Linked DNA regions of Arabidopsis thaliana. The protein of the gene in region 1 interacts with the protein of each later gene in a pairwise test. Each region holds a gene or a part of one and is shown on either strand. Other genes may lie near its edges. The genes, in order: TAC1, TGA10 and TIP.

Evidence for each region.
Region 2: the proteins of TAC1 (region 1) and TGA10 interact in a two-hybrid assay, tested with the Arabidopsis thaliana proteins (one large-scale study listed by BioGRID).
Region 3: the proteins of TAC1 (region 1) and TIP interact in a two-hybrid assay, tested with the Arabidopsis thaliana proteins (one large-scale study listed by BioGRID).

Annotation. Positions count from the first base shown.
Region 1 is NC_003074.8:2,851,504-2,857,521, forward strand, and holds TAC1 (telomerase activator1), read left to right. Parts: upstream 1-4,533; 5' UTR 4,534-4,637; coding exon 4,638-5,156; 3' UTR 5,157-5,394; downstream 5,395-6,018. UniProt on the Arabidopsis thaliana protein: Activation factor which mediates telomerase activity and potentiates responses to auxin through the regulation of BT2. Binds in vitro to the DNA sequence 5'-GACAGTGTTAC-3' of the BT2 promoter.
Region 2 is NC_003076.8:2,116,973-2,127,509, reverse strand, and holds TGA10 (bZIP transcription factor family protein), read right to left. Parts: upstream 7,039-10,537; 5' UTR 6,600-7,038; coding exon 6,526-6,599; intron 6,442-6,525; coding exon 6,320-6,441; intron 5,949-6,319; coding exon 5,857-5,948; intron 5,651-5,856; coding exon 5,522-5,650; intron 5,398-5,521; coding exon 5,332-5,397; intron 5,224-5,331; coding exon 5,164-5,223; intron 5,077-5,163; coding exon 4,999-5,076; intron 4,908-4,998; coding exon 4,826-4,907; intron 4,736-4,825; coding exon of another isoform or gene 4,733-4,735; coding exon 4,461-4,732; intron 3,317-4,460; coding exon 3,062-3,316; intron 1,446-3,061; coding exon 1,293-1,445; 3' UTR 1,053-1,292; downstream 1-1,052. Other genes in the region: FTIP1 (C2 calcium/lipid-binding plant phosphoribosyltransferase family protein), read left to right, coding at 1-310; AT5G06830 (uncharacterized protein), read left to right, coding at 7,951-8,011, 8,156-8,290, 8,560-8,654, 8,727-8,821, 8,913-9,048, 9,129-9,278, 9,373-9,876, 9,957-10,165 and 2 more. UniProt on the Arabidopsis thaliana protein: Together with TGA9, basic leucine-zipper transcription factor required for anther development, probably via the activation of SPL expression in anthers and via the regulation of genes with functions in early and middle tapetal development.
Region 3 is NC_003076.8:8,414,361-8,422,193, forward strand, and holds TIP (TCV-interacting protein), read right to left. Parts: upstream 4,717-7,833; 5' UTR 4,364-4,716; coding exon 4,186-4,363; intron 3,994-4,185; coding exon 3,713-3,993; intron 3,621-3,712; coding exon 3,363-3,620; intron 3,278-3,362; coding exon 2,819-3,277; intron 2,740-2,818; coding exon 2,560-2,739; 3' UTR 2,015-2,559; downstream 1-2,014. Other genes in the region: AT5G24600 (TRP-like ion channel protein (Protein of unknown function, DUF599)), read right to left, coding at 7,430-7,833.

The DNA.
Region 1 (6,018 bases):
ATTTCCGCTGTGTTCTTCAATGGAGCTGTCGGGTTGGCCGGAGGAATCATACGGGTGTACACGTGAACTAGAATTAAAAATATTATTAAATTTAACAATTCGTTCCAAAAAGTCTACACATTGTATTGATATGTGTATTATACACGTACTCAATCATCAAAGGAATCCAGAAATTTTGCTAAAGCAATTTTAGAACATCATCTTTTTATTATTTCTCAAATTAGTATTTAGGAATATTTTAAACTTATTCATAACTTATGTTTTCTATTTTAGAATTTAAAGATACAAACCCTTTGAAAATTTAAAATTTACACTATGAATTATATAAACTAACATAGAAATCGGATTAATATTATTAGATAGTTCTTATAGAAGAATACAATCAACATGATTTTTAAAATGACTTGAATGTACAACCAATTGAACCAATAGATCTATCTATATCTCAGTTTCCAAATGGCGACACATGTGTTATCGCTTTTCGCCTAAAACTATTTTGCTAAATTAAACACTTATATTTTAGAAGCTGAAACACAGAAATTTAGGGATTTTTGAGGAGTCTAAATGACTAAATTGAAACTGATGATTTTTTAAGTTGGAAACCAGAGTAGATCCCTAGCTACTATTAGATTAAACATAGTAAAGTTTCTTATATAAGTGAATCAAAGACAGCGAGATCTATGATGTGTTTATATGTAAAGTTTGTCTGAAATGTGTTTTGATTAAAGTAGGAAGTGAAGCTACTTTGTCTCGAGGCAAGGACCAAGGTGGTCGGGAAGTAGCTTCCTCTTTGTTTTGTGTTTTATTATAGTTTTCGAGATTATGGTGTTAAAAAAGAGATAGAAAATTGGTATATATGTGTTTGATCAAAAAAGAAAAATGGTATATATGTGTGTGTATGGATCGGATGTAAAAATATATGTAGTTGGGAAATATTCGATTTATAGTTAGAACTGATAAGTTTAAATTCATCAATAATTGAGATTTAGAAACTTCGCTAATTACCCATGCCAATTCTGTCAAGTCATGGGTTAATTAGACAATTTAAGTTTTGAATAAAGAGAAAATGTTTGCTTATATAATGGTACTTTTAGTTGTTTATGTGAAGAATATGTCCACATATTATATTTTTCATGTATGTGTATGGTTTGCGTTAATGGATACTACACCTCGTTTGTCTAGGTTTAAACTCCCCTATATGAAAAGTGGAGTCAAATTTCTACAAGACCGAGTCCTTTTAGAGAGTATAGGCAACATATAGTCTTTGCCAAAAGACATATTTGAGCACAAATTCGGATTAGACACGTGTGGTAGGTTAATTTGGTTTGATTTAAAAGTATCGCACAAATGTAAAGCTCTCGCCTTTTGAAGAGCCGATGAGAGCAAAACAAGCAAATCATAACCTGTATTTTCCTTTATTTCGACAAAGACAAACCTCTTTCCTCTTGTCGTTATAGAGAATTAAAGAAATAGATCATTAGTTACAGAATTTATTCTCATAACCCTTTCTCATGATTAGTCTACTATTTTTCTTTGATGCCGACAGGTAACTTTATTTTATTTACACAAAAAAAAAAAACTCACGACTAGACAGAGTTTATAGATAAATCTGAAAAATCTTAACAAAAATATATATCCAAACATTAGTTTACATATAAAAGTAAAACAAAATTTCAATAGTAACTCTAAAAATAGTCTTCTTGTGAATACTTTTATCCATTTCCTCTTTTTCTAACCAATCAAAATTTTGTTACCTAACAAAAAAAATAACGGAAATTTTCTATTGGGTTTCAAGTAAATAAGAGAAGCTGAATAAATTTTACAAAAGGAAAACAAATGTTTTTCCCTATATATGTACTAACGAACTAAATAAATCAATAATTGCGAGGAGAATAAATAATGATCCGAGGGAAGATCTCATTGGCATACAAGGCACAATAAGAATAAGCAAGGAAAGGCAGTCAAAAGAAGTCGAATATTATTTGTCTGTTAGAAAGCATAATCCTAAGTTCCCATCATTGGCTCATAGAGAACATATAATCTTTCTCCAATGATTTGATGTCTCACACTCACTAGTCACTACTTTTACTTTTCACATTTTATATGCCATTTGCTTGCGCAAAAATACACTGCGAATGAAGTGGTTGTAATTTGTGGTTTCATTAGTTTGATCGATCGACATAAAACGATTTGTAACAATAGATCCAAAACAGTTGCAAGTCGATCGATAACTAGTATGGGTTCAAGTCCATGAAATTCAATCACAGCTTTGCGGAATTCAATTGCTTAGATTTCTTGAAGAGTTTTGTTAGGAATTTCATGTCTCAACAAGAAGAAACTTAAAATAACACATAACGAATGTTAGCTAACATAAACATATTCACGTTGTAAATGCATTACGTTTTAATCTTAGAAATTCATGAATGTCTATATTCTTAAAGAATACCATAAATTTATCAGTACAGATTCGACATCCCATCAATCATTCGCATAGTTATAGCTCTAAAGATCTATCCAGTACAATCATATCAAACAAAGAAGGCTAAGACATACGAATGGACATGATAGAACATGAACAACAAAATTTTGTTTTCCACTAGAGCATATGTTCTCATAGCATTAAACCTTTCGAATAAGCATCTTCTCAATACTATTTAGCCTCACGAGGGTTATAAATTCTCACATTTCCCTACTGACTTCTCACCAAACAAAAAAAACTAGAAGAAGAACGATACATAAACTATGCTCACGCAAGAACTTGCGCGCATTATGGGGGGTGACGATGATGAGTATTGGTGAGGACCGGGTAATCTGCATCCTGAGGTTTAAAGCTTAATTTACGCAGGAAATTTGTATACGCATATACGTATGTGTATTAGTATACCTTTTAGTCCTCGGGATGCGGATTACCTCGTTCTTACTTACAATACACGTACTCGGAGACACGATTACTCATCATCTAGAGGTTGGTTTTGATCCTCCATTTCTTCTAAGTTTAAACATCATTAATAAGATATTTAAGACTGAATATCACCACACATATATAGAGTCAGTCTCATAGATGATGAATTGGTAATATTATATGACACTACTGACTTAAAATTATTATCATATAATATTACTAATTATATTAAAGTTTTTTTTCGTCAACATACACACTAGTTAAAAATTTGAATTTAGAAAAGTTCAATTGATGACTCATTTCAGGAATGCTCGAAACAATGGCAACGACGCTTGTGTATGTTTGAATTAGTGATATATCCGTTTTATTCATACTTAATTAAACTGGTAACTCTAACTAATACGCTGTATATTTACCTTTTTGTCTAGTGAATAAAAAAAAATCACGACGACCTAGTTTTATGTCTTTTATCTATTGCTCAAAGGTCGCTCATTGCCTTTGACTAATATGTTTAGACTTGTGATTTCTGCTATTCAATTAAATTAATTAACTGCGTTTATTAAATTTCAGTTAGGTGACTCATAAAAAGAAAACATAGATTAATTAAGTTATATATATAGTATAATGATGTACATACAAATTCAAAAGTACTATGGATCTTGCTTTGAAAACGAGTCAGTCAATTGATTTTGTAGATTTATTCAGTTTTCATAGATGTCCAACACTGGAATAATTGTTGATAATTTCAGGAAAAGCATATGTTAAAATAATGCTAATAACAAAAACAAAGCTAGTGATGTGTATCAAACTACCAATTGTGCAGAGACAAAAACAAAACGCCAAAATGCTGTGTTGTACCCTTTTTTGTCAACTGCGTATCTGTTTTTTTTTCAGTATAAAAAACTTAAGAAATCTCTAAACCTAATTATTGAGAGTAAAAAAAAAAACAAATAAATAATCAAATTTTACTGAAATAAATTGTAATGATCAAATATATTTAAGCATTGAATTTTTTTTGTGTAGTCCTAAAGTTGAATCTTGAAAGGCTGCTGATCTTAATTTGTCTTTTTTTTTTTGTTCGTGCAAAGCTGCTGATCTTTGTTATTGTCTCATATGTAAGTGGTTAGCATAAAATAATATTAATTTCTTGAATATGCGTTGTATATTTTGGTGACCATATACAACTACTTACATCGATCTTGTAAGAATTGCACATAGTAAAGTAAATATATCACAAATCATATGTCCGATAACTTCATCTATTTATATATTTAATGATGAAAATTGTAGTTTGATAAAAAAAATAAAAAAAATAATGATGAAAATTGTAGAAACGAAAGTATTTTAATCGTAAAATGGAAAAAATTGTTAGATTTTTATTGATCATTTTTTGGTAGTTGCTATACTGTTTATAGGTTTTATATTTAGTTGTGGAAATAATTTATAACTATAACAGAATAGATTATTCATGTAATGACATAGAAACAGTTGTTTTCACTTTTCTTGTTTTGTCTTGGTGCCGTGGTAGATTTTGATAATAAAATTAGAGTGTTGATTAATTTATATTTGCCAAAACAAAATAAACAAATAAATAATTTCAAGTTGACCAATTCATATTTCTTGATGGAAAACACTGATCTCTTCTCTTCTATTCTTTCTTTCTCTTATGAGGAATTTTCACAATCTTTGATCATCTTCTCCTTTATTCTACGGAAGAAATCTATATATTCTATATATGGAAAACATCAAAAACCCTAAAAACGCAGATGATTGTTCCGATAGCATATCAAAAAACAGTCATCAAGGCGTTGATGATTCCCTGAACCAGTCAAGATCTTACGTATGCAGTTTCTGCATAAGGGGCTTCTCGAATGCTCAAGCACTAGGAGGGCATATGAACATCCACAGAAGAGACAGGGCTAAACTCAGACAAAAGCTTATGGAAGATAATAAGGATGATGTCGTCGCCGAGAGTGATGCATCCGAAGTTGTGTCTCTAGACCTTAATGAACAACAACAACAACAAGGAGAAGCTTTGACATGTGATGATCACGATCAATATGTTGATAACGATATAAGTCCTAAACAGAAATTAGAGTTTTGGGTTCAAGAAAGCAAGCTTGATACTAATGATCATGGAAAGGTCACGGAGGCTAGCATAGATGGTTCGAGTTCGAGTCATCATCGTGATATTGAAGTATTGGATCTCGAGCTTCGGTTAGGCCAAAGCGTCGTAAAGAAGAAGACAACATAGTCTCTGAACGATGAATCATATATTGATTGCATTGTATCAATGGGAAAATCCCTATGAAACACCAAACTCTCTAATCCGTCTATTACAAATGGATTCGTGGCTCAAATTGTATTGTAAGGTATGCATTTGTATCTTATTGCTACCATTATCGTTGTTGTACCTTGTATTGATATTTGTTTCCTTGCTTGGGTTAATTTCACCAACAACTTTTGTAAATGACATACACGTCCAAACAAACAAACATATATATAGAAATTATATATATTTGGTGTTTGCTTTATAGTTGTTTAGGGAAAATGAATAACTAATAAGCTTAACTTAGCTCAACATTATTGATCTGGTCATGGTAGAGACTATTCAAACTTGTTCACTGAGAAATATTGTTACAGTTGAGTTATATATTGGTAGTCGTCCTCAGATTTTCGAGTAAGCATTTGCCAATTATGACTCTTATATTCGAGATTAGCACTCAACATTTAATTATATGTTAGCAAATAGTATAACATTAGCTAGCAAACTTATAAACGATAAATTTGACCAAAACAACATAAACCAAGGTCACTTTATCTACTTTTTGTTCTCTGAATTCTGAAAACGAATTTGAATATCGTATTCTAACAGTGAATATTGCATTTATACTAAAATTTACGATCATAGCCATAAATAAGTAGTTATGTATAGTCAAACTATATGTAGTTATACAGTACTTTAAGACGTTTGAACCGCTAAGATTCCCATAATCTGCATGATAATATAATGTATGTAAACTGATACATGCACAATTGCACATGATAAATATAACTAAATTGATACATGCCGATTTGCGCATGATAATTATAATTATATGCTCTATAACATGTTA
Region 2 (10,537 bases), on another chromosome or scaffold:
AGATGTTGTGAAGATGAGGTATGATAGGTTAAGAAGCGTTGCGGGTCGGATCCAGATGGTTGTTGGAGACATTGCAACGCAAGGAGAGAGGTTTCAGGCTTTGTTGAGTTGGAGAGATCCGCGTGCGACTTGCTTGTTTGTGATTTTTTGTCTTGTTGCTGCGATGATTTTGTACGTGACGCCTTTCAAGATCATAGCTCTTGCGGGTGGGATGTTCTGGATGAGGCATCCTAAGTTCAGAAGCAAGATGCCTTCTGCTCCAAGTAACTTCTTCAGGAAATTACCTTCAAAAGCAGATTGTATGCTTTGAATTGTAAAACTTCTTTGTGGCTTTTAGGTCTTCTCTGCTCGTAACTTGTGTTTCTTGTGTTCGTGTGTTTATCTGCTCTGTTTTATTATTTTGTTCTGTTTGCTTCTATTCTTATCATGTACTGTGTTGTTGGGTTTACTCTAAAACCCAAAAGTAGTGGGCTTTAGTTATAATGTTTTGTTTGTACGTTTTTTCCTTCTCTTAAAAAGAAATAAAATTCAATAGAAAACTTTAGGGCCCAAAAATTTACGGCCCAAACGAATTTGTAGTCCAAGAATAAACACATGTATAATCTGATTGCTAGTGTATGTACTTAGAAACTATTTTTTTTCAAATATTTGCGGCTAAATCAATCTCGTTTTTTGTGATGTAAAAAGATTTTTGTTGTTTTGATTTGACCATGCATGTGTACTACTGTAATGTTCACTTTTATCAGTCAAGAAATAAAAATAGAAGAGTTGAAAAAAATTAACTGGTGACAGCAAAGAAATGAAAAGTAAAGGAGAGAGAGAAGGGCGTTGAACCCAAAGCAAAACGGTACTGATCCCAAGTCCCTGACGGTATCCTACAGAACTCACCATTTGTCACCTTCCTCACTGGTCAATGCTTTAATTTGACCTAACAAGTGATAAGTCTTGCATGCAACTGCAATTGTTGCCAGCCTTCTATTTTTGTTTCCTTTCAATACTCTCTCATGTTCTTGTGTTTGGAATTGAAGATCAAGTATAATTTTTCACTTGAATTTGCATAAGGAAGAATTCATTAAAAGGTATGGAATACTTGTCTATATATATAATCTGCATCTTGATTAAAAACATAATAGTAAGAATCATATAACAAAAAGAAGCCAAACAATTTTCCCTAATTGCACTGTATTTGAGTAGAGAGACGATATATATGATAAAGAGGTCAAGCTGGCGGCTAACTAATCAACCTATTCTCTTGTTTTTGTTTTTGGTTTCCTTCATCAGTTGTTTTAGTATTATCCATCTTGCCGAGGACGGGCTAGCCAGAGAGAACTTAGAGCTTGAAGACGGTGGAAGTACTCCGCAACGGCTAGAAGACACCGTGCTTCTTGACGGGTCGTCAACAATTGGTTCAGCCTATGGATCGTTTGGTGCCTCAAATTATCCGCCTGTAAGTTTCTAATGTATTAGCTAGTTCAAAACTAAATAAGAGTTATAGGGAAAATGGAGAAATAGTAAAAGCAAAACAAAAGATGGACAAAGTAGTGCACATGTTATTGACTAAGACCAATTAAGGACAAATAATCGAATTGGACCATCATTAATCTCATAAATATAAGTATTAAAGACTAACTAGAGAGGAAAAAAACAGATAAAGGACTAATTAAGCATTATAATGATTGTGCATGACCCGAAATTATGTGGTTGATTGACGACTAATGCCGATTATTCAACATGTTGATCGATCAAAAAATCAAAGCTTGTTAGTAATTCACTAATAAGAACACGACACCAACATGTCAAAAAGGTGAAACCGTGAATTCCATACCCTCGGTCCCACGCCATGCTTCATGATACTTTTGATCATTAATTAGAATCATACATATATAATCAACCTATTATCAATGATATAAAAGTAGACAAAAAAATGCAGAATCAAATGTAAGTAAAGGAATTATTCTCAAGGAAGTGTTTTCGGAGGATGGGATACTTGGGCAGTTACGTCCATGACATCATGCAACGATATGGGCTCCAAGCATTCCATGTTTTTATTTGATGTGATATATTATAGATACATAATATATGTATTTTTCTTTTGGACTACATATATTGGAATATGTATACTTAATACATACTTTCATGGTGCCAATTGTCACGTGCGTTTAGAGAAAATTGAATTCATTACCCCTTTTTAGTAACTAACCCCACATTTACCACCTATTTTAAAGTTGGATCTTTCTCCAAATTGTGAGCGACTAACCGTGTAGCGAAACACAAAAACTTTTTTTATAGGCGGAACAGGAACAATTTAGAACTAATTATATTAAGAAATCATTGAAAGATGCCAACTTGTATATGCATGTATCTTGTATAGAATTAATTAGCCGAAATGTCCATTTGCATATAGAGTATAGACTTATACATTAATATACACAAGCAGATATATATATTTCTTTGTTTCAAAAACTTGCCTGTCCTAAACTAGTAAATGATTAAGAAATAAATATTAAATTAATAAACTTGGTCGTCTAAGAAAAGCAACCCGACCAAGTTGATATAAGACAAGAGAAGTGTTTGTTAGATACCTACTTGCATAATGTCCGAATCAAGAGGCAAATACTTTCCATTTCATATACATATACATGTTAATGCATAATTATTAAGTTTGCGAATTAGTTTTGACATCTTCTTTAAAATCAACCACTTTTATTCTATATACACTTAATATATTACAAATGTCCTCTAACAAATTATGGCCGACGTTATACCTATATATGAGTTGTACACAAAACAGACACACACATATATACAAACATCTATATAAATTTAGATAGCGTGTTATAACAGCCAAATATAGAAATATATAAGTATATGATAGTTGAGTTTAATAAGGAGTAGTTCAAAGAAACAGAATATGTATTCCTAGTCTGATTAGGACCACATATATCCTCTAGGGGTCCACTTGTATATCAACTCTATAGGTATATTTTTATATAAAGATAAAAGATTGGTATATTGATATATAATTGCACATAAACTTAAAAAGAAAGAGTTATAAGGGTACCTGGAGAACGAAGCCCTCGAGAGCAGAGAGCTTGTTGAGAGCTAAGGACATGTGTGACATGAAATTGGATAGATGAGGAGGAAGTGGTGCGGAGGCAGGCGGGAGGGAGTCAGAGACAATGCTATCGGAAAGTGATTGATTCAACGCCTCGAGGCCTTGCGAGAGAGCCTCCTCGGCCTCTTGTGTGGACTGTTGCAGCCCACATATCCCAACTATCTGTTGCTCCGTCAATGGTTCTATCTGGTTCACAATCACCTGCATGCATGCGTTTCTAATTAATACACACAAGTTGAGATATCGAGGATTAATTAACAATGGTCTTAATGGATGCATAAAGAACGTTGAATGCATTAAAGTGTGTAGTGTATGTACTCTGCACGAGTTACTAGCTACACCCAAAATCTCTTCTTTCCTTTTTATTTTCACTAAAAAGGATATAAGATTGAGACATTGCCAAAGGTCTTGTCAGATATGCACACCATCCATATATTAATTTGTATTATTAATCGGCTATCGTAGGTACTCATATTGTTTAGAATAAAAAGTAGGTTTAATTAAAATGGCTTTACGTAACCATTTTAGAAAAGAAAAAAAATGATAATCATCCAATTGACGAGCGTGCTAAAAATGTTAAACAATTATTTATTTTTGGTTTGTTTATTATGGTCGTCTCTGTTGAATTCCATGGTGGTTTATGTCTATCTCTCTCTCCTATGGATCCCATAAATCGAAAAAACAGACAGGCACTTTCTTTTGCATTATGCCAAAACCTACCTATTTCTAGAGATACTTCACCATCACACACAATTGCATGCATTCTTAATTTGTTTTCAAAATAATTTTACGTGTACCTTTATTATTGTCGTAATATAAAGACATTCACGTATATATGTTGGTTTTATACATCTAGAGTCACCCCATGCAATGTTATGTATATATATACCTCGTCCAACAATATCACTATATAGTCTATCTCTTGTCTGTCTTATCTATTATTACTATATCGTACCTCTTTTACGAGAATCAAAGACTAAATTAAAAAAAAAAATCTAAATAATAAAATAAAGTTGGAAGTACTATATTCTGTGGACATATATGTACGATATAAATAATAACAATGTCACAATTTCAGTCATTATTAGTATATGTTCTGCAAGTAATCCACAAAATTGATGGTATTAATGATTGTATCCTGGAATATTTTAGGTTCTAAGATAAAATTTAAAATGATTAGTCTTCAAGTAAAATTCCAAAATTTAGATTTATTAATCCATATTTGATTAGTTTACAATATCATCATGACTAATTATTGTGTGGGATGTGGCTCGAATAGAATAAGTAAATATCTCTCGAAAAACCTAAATATATGTATATGGCTATAAGAAAAGACGAGATGTACCTTAATGATCTCCGATGGACGGAAACCACCCATCCACAAGAAGCAACGTTCAGCTGGAGTTTTCCATGCTCCAGAAATGAGGTGGAAGACATCGGTCTTAGCGACCATAGCCTTGAGGTTAATCAAATGGTCATAATGAGCTAAACATGTGTCCACAAACATCCTAAGCTCGTTCTCGGACAAGTGTTCTTGTGTTGCCACCCTTAGTTCGTTTAATAGCCTCTGCTGCTCCTCCAGCCACCTCGCATATTCCATATCGAACACCGCTGCTTCTGCTTCACATTGCATTTACTCAATATCTCATTCTCTCGGTTTTCAAATTTTACGGTTTTTGAGTCATCACATTTATGAAACTATTAACGTACCAGAGCTGATGTTGCCAGGGCCAATGGGTAGTCCACCTTGCTGTTGATCTCCTCCTATAAGAGACCCTCCAAAGAATACGCCCTAAACATATATAGGAAATCAAATTAAATTGGTACATTTTAGACTTTAGGTTAAATACAATATATATGAAAAGACAGGTTCAAATATTTACTTGGGATCTGGCCCGTTGAATCTCTTGTTCTAGTTGGGTCAGTTTGATCCTACATGACTCGAGTTGCTGAACATAAGCCTGTCGTAATTTACCAAAGCAAATAACGTTATAAATAAATTTGGATATAAAAACTATATTTGCAACTTACAAATATTGAATGCTGACCTTTTTACGTAATCTGCTTTTTCTTGCTGCTTCTCTGTTTTGTGCTAGTCTTCTCAATGTCTGTTGAGAATTAAATTAATAAAGAAACTATCAAAAACCGAAAAGTAAAAAAAAAAAAAAAAAAAAGAATCTTATTAATTTTCTGCAGTTGTATGAATATACACTCACTTTAGGGTCTGACGATTTAGGTATGTCATGGTCCGATGAGGCAAGACCCTTGCGGTTCCCTTCCTTCTGCCATAACATTTAGATATGACCCATTAACTTCTAAAAACAACCACAACAAGTCTATATCTATACTCGAGTTATAGTTCGACAAAGCAATTAAATGATTAAAAAAACATAAATGGATAGAGACCTTGATGGATTTAGAACCTTGAGGAGGTTGATGAAACTGAGAATGATTGGTCAAGTCCATGGACGGGTCAGAAGCTGGTCGAGTGGAACCACTAGGTTGAGCAGCCGGAACTAATCTTGTATTATCGGTCTTACCAAACACATTATATAAAACAACCAAAAAACAATCAAATCACTACTCAATAGAAAAATAAGAAACGTATAATAATTGGTCTGACTTGATATTATATGAAATGGCTAGTAGTTGCGCTGACATTATATTAAATTAGAAACAGAAACCAACTAAAATTGGCATATATATATAGAAATTTATAAAGTAATAGTAATAATTATTACATTGTGTGTAGAAGAAGGAGGTGGCTCTATGTGCATAGGCTGAGATGGAAAGATGTTGAGCGTCGATGTTGGAGGTCTCATCGCCAAATTCTCTGCCATAAGATGAGTCATGTGACCATATGTATGAGAAATGGTCTAGTTATAACAAGTCATGTATATAAATATGTGAGCGGACTAGTTCTTCTAATTAGAAGAAAAAGGACAGAGAGAGAAAAGGGTTTAAAGAAGTGTAAGATATATGGATTTGAAAGATTTGGTGTCTGAAAAGAGAGAGGATCTGGTCAAAGCTGAAAGAATAGAGTACTGATGGCAGAAGAAAGATTGAAATCTGTTTGGCATGCTTTTGCTGTGACTCTCTCTCTCTCTCACACACCTAAAGGGAATCTTCCTTATCTGCTGAAACCAAAAAAACAAACCCCAATTCCCAAAAAAGAAAGAAAAGAGAGAGAGAGAGAGTGCATACGAGTTGTGTGATGATGATGTAAAGGAGAAGGAGCAGTTGATGGAGGATCATGATGTCCTTGTCCATCAAGATAGAGGAAGAGTGATGGGTCTATCTCTCCAATATCATACCCATCTTTGTTCCTGCACACATAAATTAAAGCTCTCTTATTAAAAACATGGGGATCATCAATCAATTCAAAAAGTTATTAAGTGAGTAAAAATTACATGAAGTTTCCATGGGAAGACGTGGCGGAGGATGATGATAAGTGTTGATGATGATTCTGGTGATGACCTTGCATTTGATGATGATGAAGAGAAGTCTATATATAGGATGATGTTTGAGAGAGCGTGTGATATGATAGTAACAGCAGAAGATGATGAAGAGAGATAGATTTTGATCTTCGATCTCTCTTATGTTGGTCTTCTCCTCTGAGGCAAGCTGATGATATATGATGATGATGACGGTGCTTTGATCACTAGCTAGAGAGATGATGATATACCTTCTTTTAATTCTTGTATATTATTTTCCTTTCTCTATATTCTTGGAAAGAGATAGAGATTATGTAACGGAGCATTTAAAGCTCCTTTGGTGTTTTTTTCAGAAGAGAGAAGAGAGGTCGGTTATATTGAAGTGGAGAGGGTTCAAAAACTTAAGAAGGATATTGGAGAGAAAAATAGAGATTGGAGAGAAGAACCTAAAGACAAACTCCTTTTTATTTTCTGATATTTTTGTTGTATAAGTTTCTTCTACCTTAAAATATTAGAAGACGACTTTGTTTTTATTTTTGTATGAAACCAAGAAAAATATTCTGATAAAGCGGTCAAGAACATGTCCTTTTCCATCCCCTCTCTCTTCTTCTTCCTTCTCTCTAGTCACATTGCTGATAACAAACTTGTATAAATATTTTTTGTTTGTTCTCTAAATTATTATTATTATATTTCTCCTATATATATTATTCAGCTATTAGATTTTTACTTTAAGATATACTTTTCAATTCCATCATCTATATTATTATTATAAGATTTTTTATTCGATTTTTAATGATCCATTAACCGCTCTTACATTCAATCTATAAACACTAGACATTATATGAAACAAGTTAAAAGTCATTATTATGTGATTTATGAACTTAGATTGTCAAATATATTGATTGAATTTTGTTTGTATCTCTAACTGTTCCATTGTACTTTGTTTGAATGGGCACTAATATGGTCTAGGTTTTGTTTTTGTTAAGCTAATTGGTTTGATCAAATTGAGCTGGTAAACTAATTTTGATTTCTTTCCCATCATTCACAAAATATTCATACAAATAATTTCCTCAAAATAGTTTTAACTTGTAAAGAAAAAAAAGTTTAAAATCTGTAGACTAATCCGTAAAGGTAAAACCGACGTTACTAGATAGACCAGTTTATGTTAACCGCGGTAATGGACCATCCAACCAACCCATATAAAACCAATAAACAATTTAATCTGCCGCGGACCGGAGTAAATTGGTTCGGTTAGTTCAATAACCGGATTCGAGATATTTGATGAGACCAATGAAATTATGCGTTCTTCTGTAGCAAACTCTTGAGACTCCAAAACGTTAAACTGTGTGAGACTTCGGAGATAAAATTTCCCAGAAAGCGTGAAAGGTTAACCGGAAGAAAATGCCGTCACAAGATGATGTTCAAAATCTTCCAATCGATATCACCTTCTCTCGTCTCGGAGGTAATGCAGAACTATCAATTACGAGTACACGGAATTTTAAATTTTTATATCTCTTTGGTTTTTTTTTTTCGTTTTCTTCGTTGGATTCGAATCTGCGTTGGTGATTATTGTCTTCATTTGATTTCAATTTTGTTGAATTTGAAGAATGGTTGGTGGATCGGAAGAGAATTCCGGCGGATTGGAGGAAGAGGGTTGCTGTGATCAGAGTCAAAATCTTAAAAGAGTTCTCTTCTTTGCCTAAAGAGATCGATCCATTCTTTCAAACCCTAGATCCTGAAGGTTTTAAATTCTTCAAATTTTGTTCTTTTATCAGTTTGGCGAATTTTCAAACCTTCAAAACGAATTCGTCTTAAATTGCGTTTTGGTTCACTGCTCTCATTTATAACTTAAAGTGTTAGTATTTTGTTTGAAAATGCCAAAGAGATTTTATTGGCATCTTTGTGAACACCGTAAGCTTGTTTGTTGTTTGGTTATGTCTGATGATTGATTAGGAGGAGGGCCTTACTTGGTTGTATTCTCATTCAAGTTTAATGTTGTTTTGCTTCCAGTGATCGGTTACTTGGAGGTCAAAAAGGTGTATGAGATTCTCCTGAAGACAACTCCGGAAAGCCGCAACATCTTTGGTCGACTTTCGGGTGCTTCTGTAAGGAAAACTGTCTCTCTGTTTCGCACTTTTGTTTGTGTTCATTGTCTCAGCTGTATAATGCTCTTTTAGGGTGTTTGGGAAGCAATTGTTCGTGCGTTTGAAAAAGATCACATTTATCTTGGGGAGGCAGCTCAGATAATAATTCAGAATGTTAATTACGAAATGTAAGTTGGCTTCTACTTGATTTTACCTATAGTCTCTCTACTTTGGCATTTCTGATCTCCCTAATATGTTTTCTTTTTGCAAAACATGAAGCCCTTATCTGAAAAAGCAAGTGCAAAAGGTTCAGCAACAAATGACAGAACTTGATCGTAAAGAAGCTGATATCAAAAGGAGCGTTGCACTCTCAGCAACAAAATACGAGGATGCTTGCCGAGAGCTTGGATTGCAGGTTTACTTGTAAACTTGGTTGATTTTCATCTATATGTTTTTTAAAAGGATCATATAAAGTTTAAACATTTAAGATATCAGGGAAACAATGTGAGGCGTGAGCTTTTGGAGACTGCGAGTTCGCTTCCTAGTACCTTTAGCAAGATTCTGGAAGTTATCAACAGTGACTCAGTAACAGGGGCAATGGAGTACTACTCTGCCTATGTTCAAGATGTTCATACTGAGAAAGATGTAAGATCACTGTTTAACTTCAATCTCTTTCTCTTTAAAATTTTGGTCCTTGTTTCCTGGAGATTGAATTGACCGGCTTCTGATCTGTCTGCAGAAGCCTTTGAGGATTGTCTTACAAAACCTGAAATACATTCGTGAAAACCCTCCATCATTAAGCGTTTTTGGGGACTCTGAAGGTCTCGATGCTGATAATATTCAGTCATCTGAGAATGCAAATGGTACAGATGCGGCTGCAGACAGCATTGATTGGGATATTACGGTTGAGACTCCTGAGATAGATTGGGATGTTAGTATGGTAGAAGAAGTTGATAGTGGAAATGATCTAGGTTCATATGAAATTGTCAATGCCAGCGATATTCCTGAGAATTCTCCATTTAAAGTGGAAGAAAGCCAAGGCCTTGAGGTTGATGTTTCTGAGATTTCTTGGGATGTAAGTGTTGAAACACCTCAGGTAGAAGAAATAGGTGATTCAGCTTTGCTAGAATCAAACCAGACACAGTTGACAGATTCTACAACTCAAGTCTTAGGGAGTGGAGGAGAGAGGAGCCAGCTGTTGGAGACAGAATATAGGAATAAGATCCTTGATGATTTGTATGAGGTACTCTTATCACTAACTATCTAATTCTCAGTTTAATCCTGGATATGCTTCTTGAGTTGATGTCGTTTCTCTTGTGTCAGGTCAAGGCATTTTTGAACCAGCGTTTGATAGAACTGAGAAATGAAGATACGCTGTCCTTGCAACACCACGTGCAAGCAGTCTCCCCCATGGTTCTTCAGCAGTATTCTCCTGAAACCATAGAGCCAATGGTGGTTGACATCTCCATGGCCATTTCATTGCTAACAAACAAGAAATCTCGGGATCTGATCATGATCCTCAACTCCAAAAGGTGCGTTAGGATAAAGAATCTCTGCCAGGGGATCACAGTGAGTACCACAGCTTCTGATATATGTATTTGTTTGTCGAACAGATTCCTAGATAGGCTTGTTTCAGAGCTGGAGGAGAAGAAGCACCGTGAAGTGAAGTTAAGAGAGAGCTTGAAAGATGTGGGTAGAAGACGCATGGAGCTGCAGAATTCACTTTCTGCTATATGGCCAAAACAGGTAACCTCATGTTCTTAAAAAGCTTGTTTTGGCTAAACTGTGGATTATCAGAAATTTGGAATTGGAAGGGGCTATTATCTAACAAATTCTGTTTATTGATTTTGGTATTGAATACAGGAAGCTGCACTTTCGAAAACAAGAGAACTCAAGGAGCTATG
Region 3 (7,833 bases), on another chromosome or scaffold:
CATGTTTACATGTGCCCAAACACCTGGAGCTGACTCAGCTTACACAATATGCTGAATGTATACATTTTTGTGCGTATCTATGAGTCCATCTTTTATCCAAATATGATTTAACAAAAAAGTACATTTATTTCCATATTTCTTGGTGAGTTTGGCAATAATTTTTAATAAGTCTTAAAGAGTTACAAAATTTTAAATTTAGTATATCCACTGTATTGCTTATAAGAATGAAAGTATTCGTAAATAACAAAAATCTCATTTTTACTATGTAATTGTTTGGAGTGGATTAGGTAATGAAATTGAAGAATTTTTCAGGCAAATGATTTTTTTTTTGTTACAGAGGTAAATGATATTTTTAGTGTTTGTTATAAAAATATTAAAACGGTACAATAGAAATGTATTTTTTTCATAATAACCTGCAACGAAATTTTTTTTAATGTAAAATGTTGAATATCCGTTTCGAACGAATAAAAGTAACATATAAAACAATTTTTCATACACAACAGCTGAAAAATGAATCACTTGTATTTTACCTTGTGTCCATCTCTAAATTAGTTTATACTTTCTATATTATGCTACAAACTAAAATTGGTCTCCATCGTTTGGTAAAACTGATGATATTATCACTTTACTTGTAGTAAAAAATTCCTCTAAAACTGCGAATTTGGACTTAACTTTTTGGTATACCTGCTATAAAATGAACTTTAAGTAATAATAATTGACATGTAATTTGTATCCGATCGTTTTCACAGTTTGAGTCTCAATGTATAATTTACTTTTGACGCGCACTATCTTTATGGGTTTCAACTATTGTTTTATCCAAATGGACCTGAAAAAATCTCAATGTTGAGACTTGAGTGGTTTGTATAACTCAAAACTCAGCAGATGTTATCGCAGATCAAAAATCAAGACAATAAATAACCTCTGGTTTTTTATAGGTTAATTTTACGTACTAATGGTTTTTGCATTTGTTAAATAAAATTGATTTATGGAAGATTTTTCAGATCGTTCTGGAATTAACATGAAGTTCCTTTTATACCAACCGGCAATATGCGACTTTAATCTGATTCAAAAGTATATCCAAAAAGTCAAAAATACAAAAAGCCATATTGACTAAACCATATAAAAAAATAACTCTATGCCACAACCGAATTAGTTTCTCTGCTAAAATAAGTTTATAGACTCTCTTTTCTTGTCATCCGTTTTTAATAAAACTTAAAAGAAATTTATAGACTTTTGTTTTATGTAATGTGCCATGTTAATGATCAAGCATCGAGTCATTCATATCCACTATTGTATATTTACGCTTTAAAAGTGTGCATCACCTTCTTTGGTCATTATAAATTTATAATCGAAATATTAAATTGATTAAAGAACATGATACGTGAATTCTAAAAATAGTTGAGATAAAGTTAGTTGGTGTTCGGTGCATCGCATGTGGAGACATGAGTCCAACTGCAATGGCGTTAAGATTCGAATGCACATATTTTATGCATTTACGATGTTTTTATATATTGGAAAGAATTGTATTTTCTTTTCTTACTCACACATAATTTTGAGTTTTATTCAAAGTATGATACAACATTGATATATACTACTTATATCAGCTAACACATTTAAAAAGTCTAATAATTGTTTTGGTACTTACGTATTTTGGGTTTTATTCCAAAGCAACACGACAGTAATATTGATACAAACTGCTTCCTATGTCTTATTGTAAGTGTTGTTTAATTTTTTTTACAGATATCAAGAAAACAACTAAATTTTGAAATTTTATTCTTGGTCCATACAATTAAGTAGTAAGGATACAATTATTCTTGTAGAAGCCGGATTTGCCAGAAGAGGACCGGCCATCTTTGCTAACAAAGCCAAAAAGATGTCGGGCAAAAGCCCAAAACTTGGGACGGCAGTTTACCAGAATAATCCGGTCGGCAGAATTCAACAGTTCCTCTCTCTAAAAGATATGAAGGAGAGAAAAGAGAGGTGATCATATTATTTGAACTATTCAAATATGCATTCTTTTGTCCAAAAATTTTGTAATATATTACTGGGCATACTTAATGCCATAAAATACCCAAATGACATGTTTAACAGTCCATACCCTCAATCAAACCGTCCTATCATACTAAACATGTTTAATGATATACGAAATAAACACACCTCTAATAAATATCTCTACCCGGTCGGTTCGTACTAACATGTTTGACACCGTTTTCATTACGGTGCTACCATTCGAACTCGTAGTTTGTTTCTGATTGTACAAGGCTACTAAAAATGTCAAAAACGCAATCTCAAGACACATGTGGTCAGGAATAAAAAAATTTCCAAACATTACCATCTGAATATTATGAGTCGTCGTACATGTTAACTACAAGTCTACTACACTCCTAAACCGACCATGGTTAAGCTTAAGCCGACAAAAACAACAACAATAACAACAGATGCAGAACCAGGCCAAAACCCCTGTTATACACACAAATCCGCGCTCTCTCCACCCGTAAAAACCACTTTCTTTATTCTTACTATATGAATTGATCGGAACAAACATCACATTCAGCGGATTTATGCGACTAGACTGCAGACCGACATCACACACACAACCGCTACCACACCGACTCTGAAAAGCCCTCTGTATGAACATCCCATGGCTGCAATTTTCTTGAATATGAAACTAGTCCTGCTCTTTGATCTTGTGAAATTTCCACATCCTTTCGTCATAGTTTCCGTTGTTGTGTCCTTAACCTATATACATTTTATCGCATAAATATAAGGATCATAAATTGTAATACATGAGAAGGTATGAAAACAAACTTCTTCTCACCTCTTTCTTGATAAATTGAAGTTGTGTACTGTCAGTTTCTGACTTGTGGCTGTTAAGGTTAACCTGAAGACGCAGCCTTCTTGAGGCATCGCCCTGCATTACAAACTGCTCAGCACAACCCGGGGCTTGTGCTCGTCGAGCTCTAATCTTAATTCCTCTCTTAGATTCATCATTGATCTTGTTGCATGAGCTAAGATTCTGTGGCTCATATGGGATCTGTTCTGGCTCATAGGGAATGTCAAGAAAAGAATCCAAGAACTTGGACATATATTCATCCGCATCATTTGTACCGTACTGAGTCTGAATGTAATCCTCATTGTGGTTTTTGAACAATTCACTAGACTCAGATTGTAAGCCATTGAAAGAGGAACCGAGCTCAGATTGCACCTGAGAGTGCAACGGAGAGAACAGCTTCGGGGAATCAAACTCCATAAACGAGAGCCAATCGATATCGTCAAGCTGTTGAGTAAAATGAAGTTTGTAAGTTTACAAAGCGGTTGTACCGCCTCCTGTAATGAAAAGAATGTATTTTGTTCATCCTTACCCCGGTGGTTGTAACCTCAGGGACAGAGTATCCACTACGACATTCGCTGGGGATTACAAGAGAAGACTCTGCGACGTCACAAGGATTAGTCTCTTCTGTTTTAGGGAAAACAGGAGATACCTCAGACATTTCAACCTCGTCCACAACAGTTGGAGACGATACCGCTGGTTCAACTTCACATGACTTTGACTCTTCTGGTTCAGCAGCTCCGTTCACAATATCTTGCTTCTTAAACAACTTACAAACAACAAACGGATTCTGCAACCAAAAACAATCAAACAAACACAATCAGAAACACAAAAGACCTACACACACAAGTTAATGCCATCATTTGCCAAGTTGGTTTTTACCTGGCCAGACTTTGTTCCATCAAGATCCTTCTCAGTAGCACGATACTCATGCATAATCCAACAAGTTCGTGTCCCTTTAGGAGCACGACCTGTATAAAACACTAGAGTCCTCTTAACACCTATAATCTTAGTCTTTCCTGATTTGATCTTACGGTCTTTTCCCGTCGCCTTCCAGTATCCAGCCACAGTAGCTCTATTCATTCGACTTCCACTCGGATATTTCCGGTCCAAAGGACAAAAGAAGAGCCACTCTGAGTCTGTTGTCTTCACCACAGAAAAATCTACACCACAAATACTAAAGTATAAATCTTTACTCAAATTCACTAAGTCCACTACCTAAGCTAAGAAGTTATTGATCATATTGTTCCAAATTCAAACATGCATAAACCGGAATTGAAGCCTGGGAATTGCTAAACCGAGACTAAAGAGCTAAAGATGAATCAACGAATTGATTTGATGAAGAAAGGAATTACCAGGCAAATCCCAAGGCTCCCATTTGCAGATATCGATCTCACGAATTACTCTAACGTCGTTATCGTGACCGTTGATCTTGAGCCGGAGATAGTACCGGACTAACTCTTCGTCCGTTGGACTAAATCTGAACCCAACCGGTAGTGAAGCGAGCGATAGTACTTCCATGTCTTCTTTCATAGTTGCGTGAGACTTTGAGAATTCGAGAGGAAAAGAAAAAATCACAAATTCGACTTCAAGGTGATATCTAAAATGAATTTGGATCAAAGATGCGATTCAAAGGTATATAGAAGAAAACTAAGAAAAAACCAGATTCCAGAATTTGATGAAGTACGAAAAGAAAAAACCCTAAAATTTGACACGATTTGGTAAAGTGGAGAAGAAGGAGATGTGACACGATTTGGTCAGACAAGAGAGATATCAAAGACAAAGAGATGAAAAAGTGGCGCGTGGATAGGCGTACCACTGTTTCCCAGAAAGTCATAAAACACAAAACCACGTTCGTTACGCGTAAAAGGCAAAACAGAATGTAAATACCTATTTTACCCCTGAAGTATTGCAGTAAAATAGTTACGGAAATAGGGGTTATATGAGTCAAAAGGTGAGGATGTCTGAACGAGAGATGTCACCTAGCGAATCATATATTGACACGTTGATGCTATAAAGGAAGCTTCGTGATAGTTGTACGGAAGTTAAAGAAGAATTAAATAAACTTAATTGGTATCATATTGATTTACCAATATGAAACAGTTTACACAACTGGCCAGCCCATCTTACTAATAGTGTTTGTTGTTAAAGCCCAATAGATGAGAACCCAATTCAACCATTTTTTTTTCTTGGTCGTGTGAAGTCTGAATCAATTTATTTAAACCAAATAATGTAAATCAAATAGGTTTAAACTTTAAAACGTTTGATATCGAAGTCCGTTGGTACTCAAAACTAAACCTCAAAAACAGAGAAGAAAGTAGCGAGCGAAAAGGAAGATCTTATTTATCTAAACTTAACGTTCGGCCGTTTACAAGATATGTTTACAGCCAAGCCTCGTTTTAAGAGATACAACAAGAATAAAACTACACAAGTCAATTGTCGAGCTTATGTCTTTGAATCCGAATGAGAATGTTCTTGTACTATTCTCGTCCGACTTCAGGTGTCCTTTTCTGGCATTCCTCTGTCAATATTTATAGTACTTCAATGAAAGTACACAGTACCATTTTCTGAGCGATATGAAACTTCTATGGCGGCTGATCCTTTCCAGAAAATGGGCCTCATCTCGCAATGGGCTGCGGCTTTCTCAGGGGGGCTGGTCTTCATCATTCTTAACTGAGGTTTTCAATGACTCTTTGTTTGGGCCTCCGAATGTTAAATGGGGCGAAGCCCATATCCAACAAAGTTTATCTAAGTCATTGCTTTTTGTTTTGTTTTTGGGTTTAGACCTCTGCGTTTCTAGTTTGAGGATAGTCTCTTATAGTGTTTGATTAGTTGGAATGTAATCTTTTACAACCATAATTGTTTTTGTGAAGACCAAATTGTTGTGAATTAGTTTTAGAAAAAAAAAAAATCTTGTGACCGTAAATCTTATATTTCTACAACCTAAAACCATATGTTGTTATAAGTTCTATAAGTTATATTTTTAATTTAATCTCTCTTTTATTTTAATTTTATTTCCTCATGATCATTTTTTATGTGTTGCTTATATAATGTACACTAGGCACTAGATGGATATATACTAATAGTATAAATACCATGTATAGTTTTGTTTGTTAATGTATACTTATGTATAAATTTTGAACAACATTTGAACAAAAAATTTATATGTATATATTCTTTTCAACTAATATGTAGTTATTATCCGACTAACATATAAACTATTTTACATGTTTATATAGATTCCATTTAACCTATATGTGCATCACAAAATTTGTGTTGTTGTTTATTATATAGTTTGGTTAACTATAATATTTTATAAAATATTTACTAATCATATTTTAAGATACGACTAATAAATTTACTTCTAAGACTTTATATCCCTAATATCTACACGTATAACAATAAAATACACGGTTGCATTTTACACGCTGACGGTCAAAATTTTACAGCGAATAATTTACGGTGACATGCCAACCAATCACTTAGTTACTAAAGACGTTTACTTTCTATCTCAAAGTTCAGTTTCTGGAAATATTTTATTTTCCGTTGTTTAAAATCATAAATGTATGTAGCTTTTAAAATAGTTTTTGGCTTTCGAATTTTAGTTTGTAATTTTTTTTTTTGGTGTAAATGTTAGTTGTTTGAAAAATTTGAATGGTAATTAGATGTGGATTTTAGTTTAGTTTTAATTTATTTGAAAAACAAAGAAAAAATATTAAAACTTGAATATGTGGAAATCTCTCTTTTTATTTTTATTTTATTTAGAAAATTATGTATTTCCTCATGATCCTACTTAGTGGCTATGTTCTATCTGATCAAAATTTAAGAAGTCACCAAAACTACAAGTTGTTAAATTACTAAATATCTCATGATGATCCGACCCTACCCAATTGCTCTTTTCATTTTATTATTTTGTTACACTACCAATATTAAACATATCGAATCAAGATTGTGCGAAACACAAATTGTCCCACGGTATATCGTGGGTTAAATCCTATATCAACGTTAGTTAAAAAAATATAGAAAACCACCCACTATATATATAGTGTTTTAAAAAAAGATTAAAAATAAAAGCTCCAAAAATAAATACATATTTAGTTTTACTATTATGGATTCTTAACATTTGTCCTAACTACAAAAGGGTTAAAGAGATCTCAAACAATTAATGTGGTTGACAGAAAAAATAAGAAAAATGTTACCTCCGAATACCATATATTATAAACGGGGAAAGAAAAAGCTATAGAAGTAGAATTTATGAACATTTTTGATCCAAGTCCATATTTGTAATTTGTTCTAAATTCTTCGTAACTTTTAAAGTAAAGGGTTGAAAATAAACATGGAATATATATGATCCATATATACCATATGCATATGCAAAATTACCAAAAAAATATATATATCTTTGACATCAGTAAAATTGACAATTTTACGGTTAAATGACAACAAATTTCTTCACTTGGTTACAGAGTGACACTTTGACACGGTTCAACTACCATTGAACCTGAATCAATACAACTTACAAGATTTGTATGTTCCATTGAACAAAACTCTCTTCAATATATCTGAACCCCTAACCATTATCAAATTAAAAAAAAACTACTAAACATTCTGAGCTAAGCTTCTAATCTCGGGCTCCTCCGCGTCTGCGGCTCCAACGCTACATTTCATCGAGTCAAACGTTAAATCAAGGAAGTACAACGAACAAACAAGAACGCAACAAGTTATGAACATTGGGATGGGACCAAAGATCCATAGGAATAAAGGCGAGGAGAAGTAGAACGCTCGTAGTCCTAACGACCAGAAGTAACTCCCACGGTTAACCGTTGCAGCCACATAATCTTGGTTTATCATAAGACTACCATTACCACGACCACCTGAAGAAACAGCCATGAGCTGTTTAAAGGGGACATTGATAAGGATGCTTGCATGGCTGTAATAACGAATTGATTGGACATTGAGGAGAAACGCGACTAGGAAACACACGAGGATTGCGAAGAACTTGA